Linked DNA regions of Neodiprion lecontei. The protein of the gene in region 2 interacts with the protein of the main gene of each other region in a pairwise test. Links are inferred from orthologs where the notes say so. Each region holds a gene or a part of one and is shown on either strand. Other genes may lie near its edges. The genes, in order: AP-2 complex subunit sigma and alpha- and gamma-adaptin-binding protein p34.

Region 1 (11,719 bases), on a different chromosome or scaffold from region 2:
CATTGCTATCATTAATTATTCAGGGATAATCATTTTGAAAATAATCGAAATGCCTTTACGTTAACATTTCTTTTTTTTTTCTTACCATCTATTTGCAGAACTTATGCAAATACATCGTCCCGACGACAATCGGTGCATGATCAGTGACAATTACGAGTAGCCATTGGTACTGGAACGAAAGTTCATACATATTAGGTAGACTAATTTCCGAAATGGCGCTAGCTTCACGAAGTCATCTGAAAGTAAAACTGGTTGTAGGTATGTATTATACCCATATATGACTCAAGACGCATATTTAAACGTGTCTGCAGTAAAACATGCGGTGACAATGGCCTACCGCGATTTGCCGCACTTGCAATGAGATCGGCGGTTATAACAATTAATTACCGTACAATCGCGAGCCCCAAATGCGATCTTACAAAGAAATTCTCTTTTCCATGCAGATATAGCTGTCGATATCAAGTAGCAGGAATCCCATATTTCTTCCTTTTCCGGATATATTGTATGAACAAGTCGTTAATTAATCGACTTTCGGATATATTTGAATATTATTAAACAATTTCTACCCAGAATTTAAATTTCCGTAAAAAATTGCGATGCAAAATTTAGGTACCTATAAAGAAGCGAACGGACGCTCACAGCCGTTGATCTGAAAACTTGAATGATCGTGACAATATCGTGTTCCCGAATCCCTTACCCTGTGACTAAAATCGCTGCAATTTTGGAAGATGATGGCTCGATGCCGACCGGGGTGCGGAAATAATGATAATTCATACGCGAAGCAAGTATTTACGAGTTCGGTCGAGTTCCCCATAAAATATAGGGATCGCGGGATCAAGGAACGGATGCATAGACAAATAGATGGAAAAGCCCTTTGGCTCGGGACGCGGGATGGCTGCATCGTCGGATGGGTGCATCGGAGCACGGCAAGCCGTACCGCAGGGGCGTTCCGCCATGCAAACGAGGAATATAGCTAATGTGTCTCTACGGCGTGTGGTGCGCATGGTGTCGTCTTCTCGGCTCTCTCTCTCTCTCTCTCTCTCTCTCTCCTCTCTCACTCCCGCTCTTCCGCCGCCGCGGAAAAGAAAGAAATAGATTAAAACCAGCATCGAGGATAAAGCATCTGCGCTGACTTTACTATAGACGACGCGCGGAGAGGAGACTCCCTCTTTTTCTCTCCCTCTCTCTCTCTCTCTCGGCACACGTGAGACTTGAGACTTGAGCTTGAGACCTGAGACTTGAGACTCTGGGACTTGAGAGGCGCCGACGCGCGCTGGGGTCGTCGGCTATTTGTACGCCGCGGCGAAGGGGACGAGGAGGACCTCAAGACGTTCTTAATTACGCGACCCGCCCTCGGCCCCTCCGATCTCCACCCCCCCCCCCCCCACCCACCCACCCACCCGCCCCCTCCGCCAACCCCCGACACCCCTCGGGGTCCTCATCGCTCTCCCTGTGTCACTCTCTCTTTCTCGCGGTATAAGCAAGAGAAGCTACTCGGTCCGTCCCATCATGCGGTAGTCGCGACAGCACGTGTTCGCTTCCCCGACCCATTTTACTTTAAATCTGCACCGTCTCTTCCTATCCATGTATCATCGTGACTCGGCCCTCCGCACCTGAGCGAAAAAAGTTCCAGGCGTACCAGTCGTTGGGACGAAGGAAGAGAGGAAGTAAAAAAATCAAAACTCTTTAACCCCAGGAAACGGCCGACTTGCGCGAAAAATAAGAATTAGCTTCTTAAGGACCGAGAGATTGTTCACTTTCGTACAACGTGACTTCTAACTCCCGCGGGGTTAAGAGATTTCACGACTTCGTATCATCGTCGTGCGATTTCTACTTACCTAAGTTACATATAATTATATATGCTCTAGACTTTTCCTTGTATCTTAGTTTTCCTGGTAATCGATCTTAGCTTCTGCATAAAGCTTCGAATTTCTTATTCCATTTCAAATTACCTCTAAATACTGATAATGCTTTTATTTCACTCCGTTTCCATAGCACAGAACAGTATCGTAGATCTAAACTATTTTGGCCGATTGTAAATCATTTTTTAATGAATTTTCATTTATCTTGAATTTCTATTAATTTAAACAGTTGTCGAACTATCAAGTATTTCATAAATCGTTAAGATTGATTATTGTAATAATTTCCTGATGATTCTTCCGCCGATGCATTTTCGAGGGTGAATAACCCTTTGTCAGACATCGTTATCTAGCGGAAATTGCAACGTAACTTGTTTTCTTTGTCTCGGTAACGTTACATTATAATGCATATCCGCTAAGAAATTATATGTACGGTTCAATTGCCACATATTGAATTTCAGCCATCCCTAGACACATTTCTATCGGTATCAGTTTACGTTATCTTTTTTGTATCTCTACGTAAGATTGATGCTAGAGCCGTAGTGTGTGGTCATGAGGTCAACCTCATACTACGCCAGTTATACACGTATATTACAAGTATATACAGACCGGTCGCATACGTTATACGTATAATATAGAGGCGAGTAAAAACGTCAAAAGATACAAACCCTCGTCATAAATAAAATGATAAGTCGCAAGACTTTATACATATATATATACATACATTTGTGTAGATATATGTGTATATATACAGTATACAGTAATACGAATCGGAAATATTGTATTCTGGCAACATTTATACGTAGGTTCACCCTTACGCCTCTCTTTCACAAATTCAAATGAAATTGATTGAATTTCGATGTACTGAAAAATCATTCAACAGAATAATTCATGCTTCAAGATGTATTTCTTTTTTGATTCAATACCAGAAAATTCTCTTGAGAATCCAAGTGATCCTGAGTTTCTGACGATACGTAATACGCGCTTGCGTCGTTAATATTACAGTGTAAAATTGGACATAATTGTAATGGTATGAAAAAAAAATATGACATATCGTCAAATTGCTGACCCATGCAGAAACATCATCATAATTTGATCAAATTTGTCGCAATATCTGAAAAAAATTTTTTACTTGCGTAAGACGTAACATAAAAAAACTTAACGTTATTTTTATTCATATAGATGAAAAATATAATGAAGGAATTCTTTGTCGGTATAATATTATTGCCGTCAATCATATGTATTTTACACCATCCGATCTATATGTAATACTCCTTAAGACGAGAAGTTCAATTATATTATAAGTATGAGATTAAACGCAACATTATTTTTCATGATGTGTGGTAACGCAGGTCAAACTATCATCGTGTATAAATGTACTGAACATAATAATCCCGCCACAAAGTCAATGAGCCCAGGCCGAAAACACTGCAGTATCAGACCGATCTTTACATGTGTTATAAAGTATATGTTATGCAAAGGAAATGGAATTAGCCACGCAAAGTGTAAGATCTATTCGTTCTGTGCAATTGCGATTTTCTGCAATAAAAAGATCCTCAGGCAGCTTCTGTGTAACAATTATAAACCAAGCGAAAAAATTAAACCTCCATTGCATATAATATGTATTGTTATTTTTCTCTTTGCATTGTAGGTACACTCTTTACACTTTGGTCGAATTAAAAACTGTATCTCTTGTACCTTATAATTAGCTTCACCGTTTAGTTAAAAGACTAACACATATACATATTTATATCATACACGTATACCTAACGCATCTGAAATCCGATGCCAAGAACTTCTGTTGGACTGCCGCATATCAGTTGGAGAGTGTCTGATGCGAGTGTCTTAATCAGGGCCAAACATGACGAAAAATGACAGTTTTTTCATGAACTTTAATCAAAGAAAAAAACTCCCATACCCTGTATCATTATTATATTAGGGTCAAGATCCCGGCGTCTCGTATAATATAAGAAACGTATAACGGAGTCTGATTGTGAGTGCATCCTAATTGTACGTGGTTTTATGGTATCCCAGACATACATATACCGCAGTCGTAATCAAATGATACAATAGCAGAGCTATAATATTGCGTGCTTGAAACTTTGGAGAGGTCTGAAACAATCGTTTCTGCTTGTTTTAGATTGTAAAATCGACGACGGTGACCTTCTCCACAATTTTATAGTCAAATTAAAAACCGACGAACGTCGTGCGGGCGCCAAGCTGCGAAGACGATCGTCTCCGTTAGTGTAAAATATTTATATATGTATAAGTATGTATAACTGCTTGAATTTTATGTATGAAATTTCTTGTATTATGAGAGAATACAAGAGAGGCGTATCCAGGCGAAGCGACGCGCGATATCAGTTGCAGGGGTCGCCGCCACTACAAGCTCCCGGCTGATCTACTGCGTCTTCTCGTCGTCCGATAACCCGCGATAACCCCGACCCTAAATGTTATACATATTCATACAGTTTTATAACTCCGAGCTTCGTTCTACATCTTCGATTTCAGGTACACGTAGGGAAGTTAATGATTTTTACCGCGATCATTGCGCATCGACGTTGCTGCGACGGCGGGCATGAAAATATCGGCAAGTGTTTCTCGTTATTACATTTTGAATTATTAATCACAATGGGGAATAAATTGACCAAGAAATATTGCTCTTGCTTAAATTTCTCGTCATTTCCCGTAGGAGATGCCGGGAAAAAATGTGAAAAGTCTTTCAGAAATATAAGAAGAAAATTAATAAGATAAAGTTACCTTATTAAATTTCAGTTATCGAAGATGGGAATTTTCATAATTTCTCGTGATCGTTCATTATCAATATTATTGTAATTCGACAGACACGCATGGTCTCACTGTTTCATGCGGCACGAGCATAATGCTGATTAGAAATAATTTGACACGTTCTCTGGAGTGATTTAGATTTACTGTGAAACGAACCAGTGAGTTGAATGAACTAAAGGAAATAACGCCGGCAAAGATGATTCTTCTCCTCACGCTTACGACCAGAGCAAATTAGTGTACACGACAATTAGCCTGCATGGGCGTTACGTTTACGACTTAATAAACGTGAATACGGATACACCGCATGATGGGCATTTTATTTCGTGGATCTACATTGATCTTCTATGTATGTAGGTACCTATATTATATCATGTATGACCGTGAATTCGACGTCTTGAATATGAGTATGGACTTCTTATTTTGCGATCACCCGACGACGATCGCCATCGTGTGGGGAAAGGGGAAATCACTAAATTTTGTTTAGTTCGCGAGCTGCAGCGGGTGATTTAATTAAAAATCTGTCGAATGGTTCCATGTTATTCGATGCATGCTTGCAGTTTTAGTTTTATTAAAACCTACGCCTGTACACGTATATACCGAAGCACATTGATATAATGAGACTATTCACAATGTTATCGAACTCAATTCAGTGTTCATAATAAGTGTAGCGAAAATTGTCATCAATTAGTATTTTCATCTGTTGTTGTATCCCGGCTCTACATAATGTTTCAATGTTTTATCATTTTTTCCAAATTTCTATCTGTAATACAATTTAAATCGAATTTTAAGCTTCTGTCCTTTCTAGTTCAATAGTCGTGCTATTGGAAATTAAAAGAGTGACGTCATAACGGCAAGATGTCGTAAGGTTTGAGATATTTTCGGCGTTCGTATAATTACCCTAGATTTTTCTTTCCAATTTATTCTGAGAAAAAATTAAAGATCACTTCGTGATCGCGAGTTCTGTGTGCAGTCAAGCACTTGATAAAGTAGGAACCTGATAACCGTGCTTAACTAACTTATCGACATAGAACAGTGGACGTTGCACCTTTTACTGATATCAACCAGCGGTAAGACAGAAGAATTCTGTATAAGCTGCAAAAAAGATAACTTGCTGGACTTTTGAAAGAAATGTGAAACAAAACTTGAGGTGTAAGAAGAAATGGAGCATGAGATTGTATTGTAGAGAGATTTTCAAATACAGAACATTTCTAAGGGAATGGTATTTTGTTTTATTATTCGAGGGAGTTCAACATGAGAAGCTGTTTAAGAACTTTGGTTTGGCTAGTTTCTCGGATTTCACCAGCAAGAAACATTTCGTCCACTACAGTGTACACCTGAAATTACAATGGTATTATTAGGAGATTGACTATTATAACAACAGACTAAATATTCTACATGAGATGCGTTGTAAAATTTTTCAGCAGGATAAAGTACCTTATAGAAGTTGAACACCAAGTCTAGTTCGCAAACGTTGTGGAAATACTCGTTCAAGACTTCCACAAAATTATGAATCGCTTCCAAGTAGCAAAGATTGTTGTCGTTCACATCCACGCAAATACAGAAGTACAAGCCAGCGTATCGTCTGTAGACTATCTTGAAGTTTCGGAACTGAAACCAAGATACATAGGCGTCAAGCCAACCATAGGAAAAGCAATTTTTAAAAAACAGTTTCTTCAGTGTGTCAGAATTTGAACCAGAATTGGGAATCTTTTCATTATCAGTAGATGTACTTTGAGCCTTCTTTGTGACTGTTGTACGAATCAAGCGTCGAACTATTTAACGAAACAAAATAAGCTCCTTTGCACTGAACTAAGAAATTATAGACATATTATATCCAATGAACTTGTAGAACCTCAACGAAGTTGGTGTGTTTAGCATCTCTAACAGTGACGACGGCGTGAACTTCCTCGATGAGCTTTTGTTTTTCATCGTCATCAAAATTCATGTACCATTTGGCAAGACGAGTTTTGCCCGCTCTGTTCTGGATTAGGATGAATCGAATCTGGGAAAAATGTATAATCAGAAACGATCAAGCTAGCGTTGTACGGACCTGACAAAATTTTATAAACAAGCAATAATATTGATTTCAATGAGATAACGTAATTCTGGATACTGAGTTGAACCTTTAATCAAGGTGCACGGAATCAAATAAACATAAATTCTCTCGCTGAATTGTATTAAATTTTGATCGTATTCTCATGCAGTACTTGCCATTATCTCTGAGGGTGACAGATGACAGGTGACACTTTCGATCAAGTGTCTTTTTAGGTTCGTGTGATAAGTCCGCCCTCCTGCTTTATCAGTATTCTATCTGTACGCGTGTAAAATGCAATGAGATCAGACAACTTCAAGTCAAATTCTCGGCTGTTCGTCGCTTAGTGTCACCGTAGCGCCACGGAGCAATATTGGCGCTTCGGTAGCCGGCGCCATCTTGTTGGTGAGCGAACGCCGAAGACGCCGAACCACCTGACAAACGATCGAGGGCGGCCGAGCCGACAAGCACGCAGTTAACTGCGCGAATTTTGCTGTGCTTGATTGTGTGGTAGAGTTAATTCGGCAATTTTCGCGATAATTTATTGACCAGCCGGCTACGAGGTTGCGATTCTTTTCAGATATTTATACCGAGTGTATTGAATACTTAACACGGCGTTATGTGTATATTCTTCAGTCAACGTCTATGGTAGGTATACTACATTCACGCACAACAAATGACACTCGCGATTGAATTGCTGCGCTTTTAAAAATTTTAATCAAAATGGAGGAGAAAAGATATAGTGAAATCAGTGCAATACTCCTTTACTTGAAGTTAACCACGACGTTGTGATTACAGCATCATCGGTTTCACGTGTACATGATCCCTAACAAATAGTGGTGAACCAGTGAGTGAAGTATCAGTTTTATAGAATTTTTTGGAACAATTGTTATTCAACGTTTCAATTGTCATGTGCAGTGCAGTGGTGAAACTTCACATTTGCGACGAGCGCCGTGATTTTCTGCAGGCGTTTGGCGTAAGGGTGAGTCTGATATATGATTTGTCTCTTTGTGTAACGTATCAAGTATAGGTATGTTCGTACTGGCGTCGAGTTATTACTGAAAATGTTGTCATTAAGATGAATTTCGTGAGGGTTTGTGATATCACTTGACGATACGCTCGTTTTGCCTCCATTTAAATCAATCCTCTCTCCAGTTGGATGGTGCTTGCTTGTCAATCGACTTAATTGAACTACTAAAAGAGGTTTATTTGTGGGATAAACTTTATTATTGATTGACATATTTTATTGAAAGGTAAAGAAAAACCTGACGTCATACCATCATGTGTGATGTTTTACATCTGGTTGTATCATCTGTGATTTATATTCGATAATTACATTGAACCACTAAAAGACGTTTATTTGTGGGATAAACTTTATTATTGATTGACATATTTTATTGAATGGTAAAGAAAAACCTGACGTCATACCATCGTGTGTGATGTTTTACATCTGGTTGTATCGTCTGTGATTTATATTCGATAATTACATGCTTCCTATATTAATTTCACGCATACATAAAAAAGTATAAAATTTTTTGTTAATTTGACCGTGTACTCAGAGCGTGTAGTTGATGCATTCTGATTCTGAGAATAAGCTAAGCATTCGACGAATACCTCCAGTTGTGCAAAACTCGACAGCAAAGGACCACTGATCTGTAATATCTAAATCAGTGCAAAATACCTATATCAAAAATGTTGGGTACCTAGTGCAGTTGGCATGTGGATATATTCTTTGTTTCTAGACGTTGATTAGAAAACAATCCTGTAAAAATCTCAATTTTTTTATTGTCGATTTTGTTCATAGTATGCAGTGAAAATTTTCAATAATGTACGGATCATATTACAAGTTTTTTGGCCATTCGCAGTTGTATCATGGTCATTATGCGGAAGTTCTAGAGAATCTCAGGGTGCCGTTTCTGTAAGCGATCGCCCATGCTAGTGATAGAGAAGTATTTTCCATTATCGACGTAGCTTTGTGTCGACCGTGGCGTCGACTCTCCTCGCATACGACCTTAGCAAAAATACCTTTGGCTGACCGTCCTTAAAGCTGCTTATTCAATGGGGAAAAGCAGTAGTTAATGAACACAGCTTTGATATTTGACGTCTAGAGTTGAATCATCGACAAATACCTACCCATAAACAGAATAAAACATCAAAAACTGAATTTAATTCAGATTACAAAAAATAAATGTAAAGTTGAGAGATTTTTTACCAATCAGCGATCGTAATTTGTCAGCTATTAGTGAGCGACAAGGCGAAACTGACAGTGTGTTGGGTATTGCCACTTTGACAGATCAGAACGCAAGTTCAATAATCGGCGTTGTTATTTCTTGACGGTCCATTAAATCATCGTTTGCGTTATGAAGCAGCAAAACGTTGACACAAAAACAAACCTCCCTGATACCGGGGAAGCGGACGAGTGTCTATTCGAATATTTGCATGCCGAAATGGTGAATTACGTTCTGAGTTCAAAAACAAACGGCAAGGCAAGTTATACTACAGTTTAAATATACTGACCAACATCCCAAAGATTCACAGTTACATCGCGTTCCTGGACGTCTGCAAAAACATATGTCAAACTTACTTGAATCCGTTAACATAACCCAAGGTTATTCTTCGACAGAATGTTCAATCAACTATCTAATCGTTGAATAATGTTTTAAATCAGGAGGGCGAAGAAGAGCTTTCGCCTTTGGAGTGGATGGGATTCGGTGTTGGATATCGCATCATGGAACGGTTAACTAGGGAATGGGCGCGTTTCAAGGATGAGTTGGACACAATTAAGTTCATATGCATGGATCTTTGGTCAAGTTTGTACCGCAAGCAGATCGATAATTTGCGAACGAATCATCAGGGAGTATATGTACTACATGACAATGCATTCCGTTTACTAACCAACATCGGTGCTCCTGATAGCACGCAGTACTTACGCGAGGCTCCACGACTCTTAGCTTTTACCTGCGGTCTACTTCGTGGTAGCCTTGCAAATCTTGGAATAGTTAGTACGGTCACAGCAGAAATAGCTACATTACCGAGTTGCAAATTTCATGTACAGGTACAGAGAGTTTAAAATAATGTAAATAATTATATAAGTATGTAAATTTAATAACTTTATTGAAAATGTATAAACACTATATTATTTGTGTAAATGACTGTGATTATGCATTAATCGACTTAATAGACGTAGTGCAACAAATACTGCAGGACAATACACATAATTTCGGTAAAAGACATCGATATGTGCATGTGTGTAATGTTTCCATCTACTCCAGGTCACACATAAATCATGCGATCGTAATATGGGTGTAGAAAAAAACATAATGAAATCAATTTACTATTCGAGTTATTTAACCTTAATAATTCGTCATCAAATATTGGTCCAGTGCAAATAGTATTCTTCAAATATCTCATGTCGTATCACATGGACTGACAAATAACAAAACCACACTTAAATACAAATACATGATCAGTCTCATGTTTTATTGGATTACATAATAATACACAGAATTCAAGTATAGAAATGTATAAAAAATCAAGCAATTTCCAGAAAAAAAAAAGAATAGAACTAAACAAAAATTACGTTTGTCAACTGTTGTCAAGAATTGACTAAATCTATCTACATTGCAGAAATATTGGTAAGCGAGGCTTGGGTCAAATAGTTTAAAATGAATATAAATAGACGGATCAAGCAGCAGTGCCATTACTGTGCGGTTCACTGATATAATTCAAAAGATCCATTTGAGTGGCAATACCCACTGCACTGGTCGTTTGTTTCGCATTTACTATGACAACATATGCGTCTTTTTCAAGAATTCGTGACAGTCGTCCGAGGGTTGCACAAGTAGTCAGCTTTCTGAATTGCTTGAACAGTACTTTCCGTGCGCAATCCGTAGACTTGACTTTACCCGAAATCAGACTTCTCGTAAGGTCATTCAGAGTTACTACCCCTTGGATACTTCCATTCTTTTCTATAAGCGGAATTTGGTCAAATCCGCCTTTCTTCAGAATCGCAATGGCTTCTTGACAAGTTGCTTCTGCTGGTAGAGTAGACAGGGGATTTAAACGAAGATTTGAAATAGAAGTCGTCCACCACCATTTGTTCGCCTCTACCGGCGGGGGTGGATCCTGAAACATCATAGTGAAGTCAGTTTTAACTTTTTCTTCAATTTACAATTTTATTTTCTAAACACTTAGTTATTTCGTACCAAAAAACCTCTGGCTTCCATCCAGTGGTCCGATACAAATTTAGTCATGTAGTTTCTGAGACCATCTGGCAGTATTACAACAACTCTTTGATCTTCTGGTAGATCCTTGGCCAATTTTAAAGCTGCTGACATAGATGCACCGCTACTTCCACCGCACAACAAACCCTCCTCACGTATTAGTGCTCTAGCACAGTTCAGTGAGTCTCTGTCATTCGTTTTAACCCACAAATCAACTGAACCACGATCCAAAACCGTAGGAGTGAAGTCGTATCTGAAAATGTATGTCAGTTAGATATGTAGCAGACTCAATGTGATCTAGAAAATTCTAATTTTGCTTAGTTTAACACAAGGAATACATACCCAATTCCTTCGACCTCATAGAAGGTTACTTCACTTTGATTTATTTCCGCAGGCTCTGCAAGAATACTACCTTCCGGATCAATAGCTACAATTTTTGTCTGTGGTATTAGTTCTTTGAATCTGCGACTGATCCCACTAATGGTGCCACCAGTACCAGCTCCTGCTACTAAATAATCGATTTTGCCTTTGCATTGTTCCCAGATTTCATACGCTGTTTGATCGTAATGAGCTAGAGGATTTCCACAATTGGTATACTGTAAAACATAAAGACGTTAGCATGTCTTACAAAGGAAAAGAAAAGTCTGCCAACTTTCCATTTCCATCGATGTCTAATTACCTGATCCAGAATTACGCTATTTGGTATTTCCTTCTGTAATTTCTGAGATACTGTTATATGACCTTCGGGACTGTCCCACGCAGCCTCGGTTGGCGTTCTAACAATCTCAGCCCCCAGAGCCCGCAGTGTGTCAACTTTT
Region 2 (12,056 bases):
ACGTAATATATGTGCTTAAAAACGTCTTTGGCTTCTTTACTTTTGTCATTTTTTATTCTATCTCTTCTTCCGCGCTTCTAGAAATAGCTTTACGTCCTTACGGAGGTTGCTTCACCAGCAATCGATACTTTTTACTAATTTTATCACGAGGTTAGTTACAACTTGAGTATTTGTCAAATTATTATATTCGTAAGCTACCAAATTTCTGTAAAAATAAAACAATAGAAAATACTGGAATTATGAACAAAATGAAATTCAGATTTCGATACACAATTTTCAATCGTTCCAAAATAGTTGAAAATCTGATAAATCTATTCGGTTTCAGACTACAATTGATCATTTTACTGAGAAGACTATTTTCTACAGAGTCATTGGAATAGATTTATTTTTTGCGATAGTAAATTAAACATTGATGACGACGCCAACATGAAAAAATGTTTCAGTGAAATTTTAAAATTTTCCGTCTAGATTCTTAACCATTGCGAAACGATTTGAAATTAAACATCGATATTGAAATTTTTGTTTGTAATTTCATTCATACATTTGAATTTTGCATTTTTAAATTATTCTTCGTAGCTTACGAACATTATGTAATTCAATAACTATTCCGTAATAAAATTCTTTAAAAAATTAACGATTTTTTGCTACTCAATCTCCTTTAACGTCGTTATAAGTTTTCGCGTTTGCCGACTACGTAACAAAGGGCCGATTGTAAGAATTGTCACACGTAACACGAGTGTCGGCTCGGTTAGCTGGCCCACTTTGTTCCTTTCGCACTTACGTAGGTGCAGTACTTATTTTTATTGGACAGTTGTCCTTCCCTTGTTAGCGAGGATTTTGGAACACATCATTTTTCGCCCAGTGAACCGACCGACGATGTCTCCCCCCTTGTTATAGATACGTGAAATTAACTTGTTCAGCAGTGCGTGAAAATGACAACGTTATGAAAAATTGGTAAAATATTTTATTTTCGACCCGCGCTTTGTTTCGAGTCACGACACATTTTTACGATCTGAGAACGTAACATATTATACATTAAGATAAATCTCTGTGAATAGTTTTCACGCACCTGTGGCGCATATTGAATAAGGCGAAGATAATAATATAATACAACAATATATATTGGACACATTTTGTGTTTAATAATAATTATGCAACGTGGAACGAGTATAACTACGCACATACACAGCCGTTGAGAAACGATGTATAACGTACGTACGTACATCCATAAATTCCGTGTATCTATGTATCGACTGCATCGTATTTGGGCATATGAACGCGGTGAGAATGTAAATTCGCTAATTCGACTTATACAGCATATAAGAATTCATCAAGGTTGAGCCTTGTTGCGTATTCGCGCAAGAGTTTGAGGAGAGAGATCGGTTATATGGGTAAATCCAAAACTTTTAGCTTCTAGCGAAGCACGAAGAAATTAAGAATATTTCTTAAGATAGCGTTGATACATAATTGTAGATTTTTTTTTTTTGTTTTGTCAGTTCTACGTAGTATCGGAAACGTATTTGCATAATTAAATCTAGCGGAATATATGTGTTATATATGTATATACATTATATATTTAGTAAAGTTGTAGAAAACTTTGCAAGAGAAGAAATTGTCGAAATTGTAGGCGAGAATTAAAAAAAATATTTTTCAACCTTTATTGATATTCTACGATCGCTCTTCCAGTTTTTATTTAAATATAATATGTTTGAGTTGCTCGTCCATGTACTAAAACAATAACCCACTTTTCCTCGCGTGTACTAATTTGAATGAAAAAAAAAATATATAAATTATTCAGCTACAGGAATGCGAGTATGGATTTTAGAAAGTTTTTCATTTTCGTAAAGTTATTCATTTAACACGTACGCCTTTTGATGTATCGATAAGTGATAAATGCTGTCATAATATTGTTGGTTGGAAGATGGATTTTTCGCGAGTTAACTGTCCCGTCAATAGTGTTCACGTGGTAACAACGCAAAAATTATTATGAGAAGCGTAAGCTGTGTATGAAAATCAGTTTTAACAACGGCAGATGAAAAATTTATATTTTCATTATTGTAAACTAGAGTATTTCGTACGTATCGAGTGAATAAAATAGGGGCGCCACAAATCTACGTACGTATCAAATATAGATCATGATCTTGTTAGCAATATTGTTATATTTCAATTAATGCAATATGAACATATTCTAATAGCATTTACGGTATCTTATTTCATTTTGGTGAACGATTCATGTATTATCGCGAACCATAATATATTACTATTGATATAAACAAATTGATGGAAAAATAAAACCGTGAAAAAAAATCACGTCAAGCAAATCTGTGCAACTATATGTAAAAAAAAAGAGAAACAATTAACACTACGAAGAAACTTTCGCTCTCAAATTTCAAAAAGTGTCAATTGATACACGTTGAATATAATGCATTCCACCGAATTACAGTCAAGATACGGGTACAATATTTATCATCTGTGACAGTAGTCGGTATTATACGTCGTGCATGCATCGATGTGCTGATTGCGAGACAAGATGATAAACACGAGCTTGATTCGACACGATTCCCTGGCATTCGCATGGAATAAGGGTGAATCCGCATCGCGAATTGCGGCAAGACCATCACGGAAAATGAAGAAACTGATATCGGGGAGTACAAGAAGTCGTTATTATCATAAGGAGAAACACCTCCTCGCAAATGTTGAAAGTGCCTTCCCTGCAGGGGGAAAAGTGGGTCGCTCGATATCCCCGACGGGGAAAGACCATGGAGCTTGCAGCCACCGGGAGGCTGCCGACTAACTGTACATATAGGGAAAATTTGGAAATTCGAGAACCGGAAAATCGCCTGACGAGCCCGCTTTCGATTCGGTATCCCCGAGTTTTCGCTTTCGCTTGCCCGGCGAACATCGAGCGAAACTTTTCAGACATACGCCGTGTGCGTAACGTGAAGAAGCGCGGAGAGAATTATGGAAACAATGATTAGAGTCGTGAGATTGAAGTTAGTAATATTATTGCAATGACGTGTTGTGAAATCGTTTATTTCGCGATATTGCAAGAATTGTCTGAAATTCAGCGAACGATAATAAGGCAAAATTTCATACTCGTACTTCAAAAACTTGACTCGTTCAAAGTAATTCTGAAATTGCAAAACAGTGATTTTTTTTTTTTTTTATAATGCTTCGTTTATACCTCAACGTCACCATTTTTAACATGGTGATATGCACTGTTGAAAATGATTGTGGATCTACTACACATTTGCTGTACAAAAGATTGTCAATTTACGAAATCAGATTGTAGATTTGCTAATTCGGTGTAGCGACGTAAATTAGATTTTGGATTTTACTAAAATTTATAGGAGAAACACAAGGCGGTAATTTGAATAAACAGTAAATGTACGGTGAATTTACTGTTCCGTATCCGAATAAAACTTTCAGTACAGCGTAGGGAGTTCCATGTGATAATTTTTAACAGTGATGTTCTGTTGTTGAAAAAATACATTCCATTTGGTGAAAATGAATATTAATTTTTGCATCGACCTTTGAAAAACGATAACATGATTTTTCATCTTATCTTCGCTACCGCGTACTTTTTCAATCATCACCGCGCTGAGAACGAGCCACAATACAAATCGTATCGACAATTTGTGTAAAAGCAATTGCGTTTTCCTTGTAAAAATTAAATCGACTTGTGCTAAATTCCTCATATCTATTTTAGAACTGATTTAGCAGCTATACATCGAATAGTTGCTAACCTCCGCTCTCTCCTCCTCATGTAACCGAAGCCCTACCTCGGCCTACGGTACGGTGGATTTTCTACGACTTCCCGAGAGCTGCTTAGAGATATCTGCTTCCAAGCTCTGCATCCTACCCCTAATCCCCTTTCCCATTCCCCATTCCCCACCCCATTTGCACCCTAGTTATCGCGACCCGCGCTTTCACCCACATTCCAACGGTACGTCCGTCCCATCCTTGTCGTGCTTAATTCACTTTAAAGTGCATTTTGTCAATTCAACAATTGCAAAATAATGCTCGACCGTATAAATGAAAACAAGATTCTGCCCGCATTCGTTTGGAATCGCATTTTCTTCATTAGGTCAAAAACAAAATAATAATAATAATTTTGCCACGAAATACTTGTACGAAAGTGATTGAATTTACATCGATCAATTATCGACAGTCAATCGCAGTATTCGGGCAAACAGAAAAAAAAAAGTATGTTATCTCGTCGTTCAGGATTGCACGACAAACAATTTATTACGACTAAACGAGGGAATCGGAGAAGGACGATAATCACTTTCGTGCACTTACCGTGTTGAAAGAGGCTAAAAAAGAGGATGCAGGCGATAACGGCGGTGGTTGGCAAGAGTCTGCGAAGAGTGATCATCATGATCGAATCACCGGACCATGTGCTTGGCGAAACGTCAAGTCGATCAGGGATTCGACTTTATACCCTTGGCGTCAGAACGATCACAATTAATGTTTACACGAAGATTATATTTTGTTTATTTTATTATTCCGATAGATTTAGTGCAGAGATGTGTAAGTCGGTATACGTATACGGCAAATGCGGATTACTTCTAGGTTTCTTTTTTGAAACAGCGAACAGGTGACAAGTTTGTCAACTCAATAACGATCCGAGGGGTGAACGGGCCGCGAGATCACGGACACAATTTAATTCATGACCTGCACTCCGAGACTCTGTAAACGAGGGTGAGCCGTGGGACCGGGATCTGCACGCCTCAATCAACGTACCACCCGGCAGAGCTACCCTGACCCTTCGCCGTTTCGTTCCGTTCTGTCCTGTCTTTACGGAATTATTGCCCTAGCGGGTATCCTTCACGCCGGCGTCGCGACGCCCGGGGAAGAGGCGTTGGGAGGGGAAGGGTGGGTGGGGGGGGGGGGGGGGGGGGGGCGAGGTGAAAGGGGATGAAGAGGCACCGTCATCCCTTAACGGGCGCCACGTTATCGCCGAGCGTATTTTCAGTTATTTGCTGTTTGTTGAAAAAACTGTCTCCGTATATCCGGGATTTGATTGGCTGAGAAATCGTTGGAGAAGATGTTAGTTTGGAATGAAAAAGATATGGAAAACAACAACAAAACAAAAGTGTCCTTATAGTTTAATATATAGATATTGATGTAGCGATGTGATATTGTTAGTTCAGTTCTAATGTTCTTTTTTTCTCACTTTCTTTTAATCGAATATTCATTCAATAGACAGGTACGTAACGAGCCTTTAACAATGTAAAGTTGTTAAACATATTTCGACATTCTCAAACGTATAAACTGTGAAAATCTGACAATTTCAGAGATATTTGTAACTTGAAAACAATTTACATATTTCAAGCTATGGATGTGACGTTTAAAAATGGAGAGCATAAATAAATAAGCGGGAAAAATTTAGTAGCCTGCAAGAACCTGTCTTCAGTTTTCCTTGCAGTTGCGTACTTATAATTCAATTACTCGTAGGTCAATAAATAATCAAACTTGTTCAAACGAATATTTGTATTTTCACAAATAACTCAACAAGTGGCTTACCGATTAAAAAAAAGAATGATTTTGGCTCAAATCTGACTTTGTCGATTTATCGAACATATTGATCGTATAGCGTAGTTCTGATCAAATTTTAACACCTTCCTAATCACAGTATAATTAATATTTAACGCTATATTATAGGACGCATCGTTATCGATCAAACAGATGATGATCAGACCTCCTAATCGTTCATCTTTCAATAACGGTTTTTCCACAACACGAATCGTTACGATAACGTTATTAGGTAATACGGCAATCGGAGCATAATCAAGCGTAAAGTCTGATGCTTACAGTATTATTAGGGTGGTTAATATTTAAACTTTGTTCTTTTAAGTTGTCACTCGACAAATTTGTGATAAATACTGAAAAAAACTGTCGAAAAACCTGCAGGAGGTAGGAAAATGTATGGAAGTCGCAACCAATTACTGAAATATTGTTTTATTTTTTTACGGTTACATCTTACGGACTTATATATGTATATAAGTCAGTAATTGGTAGCGACCTCCATACATTTTCCTATATATATATTGGTTTATTTTTTTTGTATTTTGGTGCAATTAATCCTTCATCAATCAACAGCAAACTGCGCCTACCAATTCCGCAGTTGGCTCTTCTCGTCTTTTATCCGAAAGATTAATCGTTTCGAAGAAGTTTGAATAACAGTTTTTGTTACAGAAAGAGGAGTATTACATCATCTTAATGTCCCTGTTTCGTTTTCAGTACTGATTTTTATGAACATTGATTAATTGTAGCGCAATACGAAATAAACAAACTGTGACATATGTATATATATAAGTCCGTATGGTGTACACATAAAAATAAATAAAAAATATCTTGATGTGCTATAATATATAATAATTGGTAGCGAACTCTAAATATTTTCCTACCACCTCCAGGTTTTACGACAATTTTTATTTCGCTATTCGTAACAAATTTTCGAGGAACACCTTAAAAAAAAAAAGAGAGTTTGAAAATGAACCACCTTGAGCATTATATTGAGAATTTCGAATTACTCAAAATGCTTTACGAGCGGTTCAACTAACGTAAGAATAAACCGAATAAACAAATTCATACTCACTCATGTCTCATCGCCAAAAAATTGTTTTCTTTAGTCGGCAAATAGACTGGAAAGCTAATATGGAAAGCGCAACGTTCGACGTTGATTCCGGTCATTTTCAATCACTTGGGAGGGGCGAGATACGACCGTTCAGCCATATTCGTCAGAGAATTGAAGGGTTGCGCGATACCGATAAGAACTCGCCGATCCGCGGTGTTCGACACTCGTCTGCGGAATGAAACGCACATGGCAGCAGCCAGGTTTAAAATTCCAGCTGTAAGACGCGATAGCTCGAAGCGCGTCGATCGTCGAACGTCGACTGCTGTCAAAGTGGTCGAGCGAACCTAACCTAAAATTTGAAGTTTAGTAGACCCGTTGCGCGTGCTGGTTTATAGCACCTCTCAATTGTCGTTAACAATCTCTGTGAGTGGAGAAAAGCAAGTGGATAAGCGTCGCAGACTCGGAATAAGATGAATTTACCTCGCGTGCTTATCGCCAGCACGGCAAGCGGAAAGGCCGATGAAATAGCCAGAGGTACGTGTACAGCCTTCCCAGCTTTGGTAAAGAACGATTCGGGGGATGAGCAGCTACTTGTAAGCAATTACTTGGTAATATCATCAACGGTATATTCCGCAGATATCGGGGCTAAGGAACTCGACACCGAGGATGATGCTGTCAACTACTACCTCTGGGACATCGAGAACAAATATTACAAGGCGCAGGTTATGCTCTGCACCACCGACAACCCTCTTGTCAAAATTGACTCCGAATCTGTCGAGGCGTTAATCATTTACTACGACGGTCGACTTGTAAGTCGTACTTATACGAGAGCTTTTTTTTTAAATTCTTACGTGTCGCTGATGCTGACTGTACTCGCGTTTAACAATGATCTGAAGTGTTCCTTTCAACTTTCTTGCAACATTTGCATCAGGAGAATGGAACAAATGCGCTGGACGAATGGGCTCCGCTGATCAGTTCACTTTCCGAGGCTGAAGTACAAATACTCGCTTGGGATTCGACGATCCAAAGAGGAAATGGTGAACGAGGTAAGTTTGGCAACAGCATTATTCACAGAGTTTGTAACATTGAAGTAAAGGTGCGTTTTAAGGAAAGATTGTTATTTGGCAACTTGAGAGTTGTCTGAAAATGATGAATCGAAACGTACTCATAGTTTGAAAACTTCATTTATTCAGTCCTTTTGGAAGTGAAAAATAAATTCAATTTTCATTACGTCATCGTTACTAACTTCCATCTTGTAAGTTTGTAGCGACAAATTGATCCCTGAGTTAATCATGTTATTCTACTAGTCCTGGAGTGGTGCGCACAGTACAAATTTGAACTCGTCGACTTCAATCGCCCCGAGGCAGTGGAAAATCCAGATGATTCGGAAGATGAAAACGAGAAGCACGGCATTGACAGAATCGTCGAAGCTCTTCATGCTCATACTTGGCCCAACATGGATCTCAAAGGTATAACTGCTGTATCAACGATGTTTTTTCTCATACGTTGAGTCAATGAAAAAAATCAGTTTTGTACAAAGTACGCGATCCACCCGTGAACTATCTTTAAAGAAAAAAAAGCATGCTGCACTTATTTAATAATAGAGACGGTATTTTTGACAGGCTGTTCGACGCTACCAGAAAGCGGATGCATCGATATAGCGGAAGTTGACGAACAGTTGCAGGGTGTTCATTTGAACGGGATTCACAGTATGTCCCAGGGTTTGCAGTTAGAGCACATGCTGGGTGAGAATAATTGACCTAAGATGAAGAGTTCGCTGTCTTACAAGTGAGAGTAAATATCGAGCAACGAATTTAAATAAACGACATGCCTATTTGAACAAAACTTGCAGAGGGTATGATGGGAGGCGAGAACGCAGATTTCGGCGAACTGTTTGGTCAGTTACTCGCGATGAAGGAGCACGCGGCTACTTTGCCGGAGAATCAGAGGCGGGCAGCGGCGGAGGAACTGGTAACAGCATTCTGGAAAGCGATGGGCGGAGATCCGGAGGAGATAGACGGTCTGGACCAGTGAAGAAGGTATCATTATGTAAACGAAGACGCGTTGTACATGTATTATGTATATGTTGAATATGGTAAATAAATATATAAGCATAGTCATATTTTTGTGTTCTGAATCAAATCTCTCCTATGCCAACGCGGCCGCACATCAGGATCCGCAGTATTATCCCCACACCATGTACCGGATGATAAGCTGTAGTTGAATTCCTCGGCGTCGATTGCTCATCCGTTAACCTTGAACGTGAACTCGAACTGGGCTTCGCCGCAACACTTGATACTCGACGAATTCGGATTTGTCAGAGACGAATGTTGTTTTTTTTTTTTTTTTTCTTTTTTGTTCCAACTGACTTCCAAGTTTAGTCTTCTCTCGTCCGATATCGTACATTAATTTTAATGTTGTACACGGTTTCCGATAGCAACAGAGCCATTTGAAGAATTTAATTTGATTATTCGATGACCCGTGTTTACCGATTACACGTATATAGCTGTAATAAATACCGATGCTCGGTTTTGTGCCTTTTTTACCGTTATGAAAACATTAATGCAAATCAGTGACGCAGTGCTGATTTACCAAAATTATTCAATCGAAGCTGTCCGCTAAGGTGATAATTATTCAACTTTACGTATGATATTGAATTGCATTCCCCTAAAAACGAACCATTAGATATTATTCAATTAGAAGTGTGAACTCCCGCTGAGTAAATTTATCTCCAGAATGATCAAAAAATGTGACGCAATTGCTATCGATTTGGAAGGTCAGGAGAGATTATAATCTTTTCGACGTTTTCGTACCTTCTCGTATCTGGTTAGGACAGAATTTATTTGAAGACATTTTCAACTGTGCATAATTTTCAGCTAAAGTGCCAGTAGTAGAGTTGGTCGAGTGTGGCAAACGAGTCGAGGCAATGAAATTAATGAGTTTTTGCTTTATTTTACCTTACGACGATCTTTCTAGGAATATCCTATTACGAAACCGATAACGTAACAACATCTTTTTTCCTGTAGGATTCGAAATAAATTTAAAATTGAGACGTAGATCGTAAGACATGCGCGTCTACACGCAAATCAGTTTCGTTATAAGCTTATTGTCAGTCGTTTTTGCGGGACATCATCAAAGATGATATCACATCTAACAATAAGCTATTCTCGTCGTTATTCTAATTGGCTTTATACAGTATTCGATGACTGGTTAGTCCTGTAAATGATCTTAGATTTGAAATAAAATCCCAAGTATTCCCAATCGTGGCCATATTAATTTTACATCGGCGTAAAGCGATTCAAAACGTAAAATACTTTAAAAACATATTTTTTTAATAACTCTTACGGCTAAGTTTTGAGCTCAACATTTTACCTTTTACTCACAGTTTCAAATATCACGCTACCTACATCAATTTTCAATTTCGGAGAGACTTGATATTGCTTTTTGCAAAAGAGATTATAAGTATTCGAGGTGTGTATGTTAATTATACGCGATTGTATGGCATTTAAGCTTGAAATCATTATACGCGTCACCGCGTTCCAAAAATGTTTAACATTACTTTCCCCTCTGTATGCGACGAGATGAGAAAAATAAAGAGTTTCTCTTTTGCGGATCTTTCAAGCATCGGTCTCAGGTGTAGGTACGATAAGTTAATGGGTGCGCTTTTTGTGCAAGACAGTCTTATTTATTGTAATACCCATAGAAAAAAATCCCTTATTTTGAATAAAGCGATAAACGGTTTTGCCCGTGAACGTAGATAGAATTTATCGAACGTCAATGATTACGACGACATTTTTCCACACCTTGAGCATTATTTCTATGTGTCGTAACATCGCATTGAGCGAGCGTGCGTTACAGCCATCACCTGCTGCCGGCTTGCAGACGAAAGTCGTTATTTTATCGCGCTCGTAAAATTAGGATTCATCGCGTGAACCACGGCTATTTTCGTAAATTTTATTTATTCTGCTACAATAAGAAATCTTGAAACTATAGTGGGTTTGACGAAGAGACTCCGCAGTTTCCGCTTCTCGCAGAAATACGCCATTACGATCTAGAGAGTTAAGGTACGTGTACCGGTTATTGACCTCTTTTTGTTCCATCTGTTTGATCCTTAGTTCTTGAATAACAAAAAAATTTATTTCTATCGTCCAACTCTCTAGCAATTGGTTTTAATCCTCGAGAAATTCACAATTTGTACCGTAAATTTGTAATTTTGAAAAATACAAGGGTCAACAATTGGTTCTAAACGTCTCGTTAATTGGTACACTTACCACACCCGATCCGGGTAAATAAATCGAGGGGCCTTGAAAATTGGTAAAATCTCGAACCAACTCGAGGCAAAAATCGCAATTTCTTGGACTTTAAGATTCCGAGCGGTGTTCGAGAGTTGCGGTCGTCGTATTAAAATCCGTGGAACTGGACACTGATGTCCAGTAAAATCCCGCCCAGAGGAGAGAGACAGGTTCGGTGATCGTAGGCGTGCGTTGGTTGAATACCGATATGTTTGCTTAGCTTGAAAATTCCTTGAAAGAAACCTTGCGCCAAGAATTCGAAAGGAAGATCTTGTCTCGTGTATTATACCTCTTGCCTGCCCGAGTGAAGTCTCGCATGATTATATGTAAAAACGCTGGACACGCCGCAAGCAGCTTCCGCGGATGATGATTCAGCCCCTTCTAATTCTCTCTCTTTTTCTCTCTCGTATAAATTTTCTCTTTATCCGCGGTATGTCAGCTGGGTAAATGACACGCGGAAACATAAGTACATATACGTGCACAGACCTCATGGTTTACTCATACCTGTAGCAAGTGTAGGTATGTAGGTATGTAGGTGCCTACCTAATAGAAAAACAGGAGTCTTCGGAAAGAAGAAATTTCGGGGCGTTTGCTGTAGCAGAAAAATTATACTTGGTACCATCTTGTTACTCGTGATCGATGAAAAGCAACGGATTTATTGTATACAGATTAGAAACACGCGGGATAAAATAACCGCAGACTGTTATCGACATTTTTACCGCGAGGAATAAAAGTACATATTATACGATGTATTATCATAATCGTGAAATTTTTAGGTAAAAAGATACCTATTGTTTTGCACTGTATGTGAAAATAACAGTGTATTTACATAATAACACGGATACACCGTTCACAATTGGTAATTTTTTCAACACCCCGTATATGCCACTTGTGCAGGCTTTTACTCCGCGACGAGAGACATGAGAACATATCCTCGTTTTCTTTCAACTGTATGAAAGAGATATCCTTATAGTTTTTTTTTTTTTTATCCAAGATTAACGAGTTATTTCTTTAATCTTCATTTTATTCGAGCATGAGCAGGAATTAACCCTTTGTGGCACAGCGTCTCATAGATGAAAGATCTTTTCTGAATCGGTTATTCAAGGTTCATATTCAATTTTTGAGATATCGCTGTAATTTTGTTTTTTTACGTAATTGGAATGATAAGATGTCAATGTTGA

Evidence for each region.
Region 1: the proteins of alpha- and gamma-adaptin-binding protein p34 (region 2) and AP-2 complex subunit sigma interact in binary tests that used the Homo sapiens proteins (3 or more experiments, as listed by UniProt). The link is inferred for Neodiprion lecontei from reciprocal best matches to the Homo sapiens genes AAGAB and AP2S1.

Annotation. Positions count from the first base shown.
Region 1 is NC_060261.1:36,410,919-36,422,637, reverse strand, and holds AP-2 complex subunit sigma, read right to left. Parts: upstream 7,004-11,719; 5' UTR 6,861-7,003; coding exon 6,858-6,860; intron 6,649-6,857; coding exon 6,499-6,648; intron 6,255-6,498; coding exon 6,081-6,254; intron 5,981-6,080; coding exon 5,879-5,980; 3' UTR 5,797-5,878; downstream 1-5,796. Other genes in the region: trafficking protein particle complex subunit 6b, read left to right, coding at 9,039-9,164, 9,347-9,748; cystathionine beta-synthase, read right to left, coding at 10,363-10,803, 10,884-11,154, 11,244-11,497, 11,581-11,719. UniProt on the Homo sapiens protein: Component of the adaptor protein complex 2 (AP-2). Adaptor protein complexes function in protein transport via transport vesicles in different membrane traffic pathways.
Region 2 is NC_060260.1:7,895,852-7,907,907, forward strand, and holds alpha- and gamma-adaptin-binding protein p34, read left to right. Parts: upstream 1-6,884; 5' UTR 6,885-7,053; coding exon 7,054-7,117; intron 7,118-7,219; coding exon 7,220-7,392; intron 7,393-7,514; coding exon 7,515-7,629; intron 7,630-7,890; coding exon 7,891-8,052; intron 8,053-8,205; coding exon 8,206-8,328; intron 8,329-8,435; coding exon 8,436-8,617; 3' UTR 8,618-8,703; downstream 8,704-12,056. Other genes in the region: uncharacterized protein LOC107220945, read right to left, coding at 4,303-4,381. UniProt on the Homo sapiens protein: May be involved in endocytic recycling of growth factor receptors such as EGFR.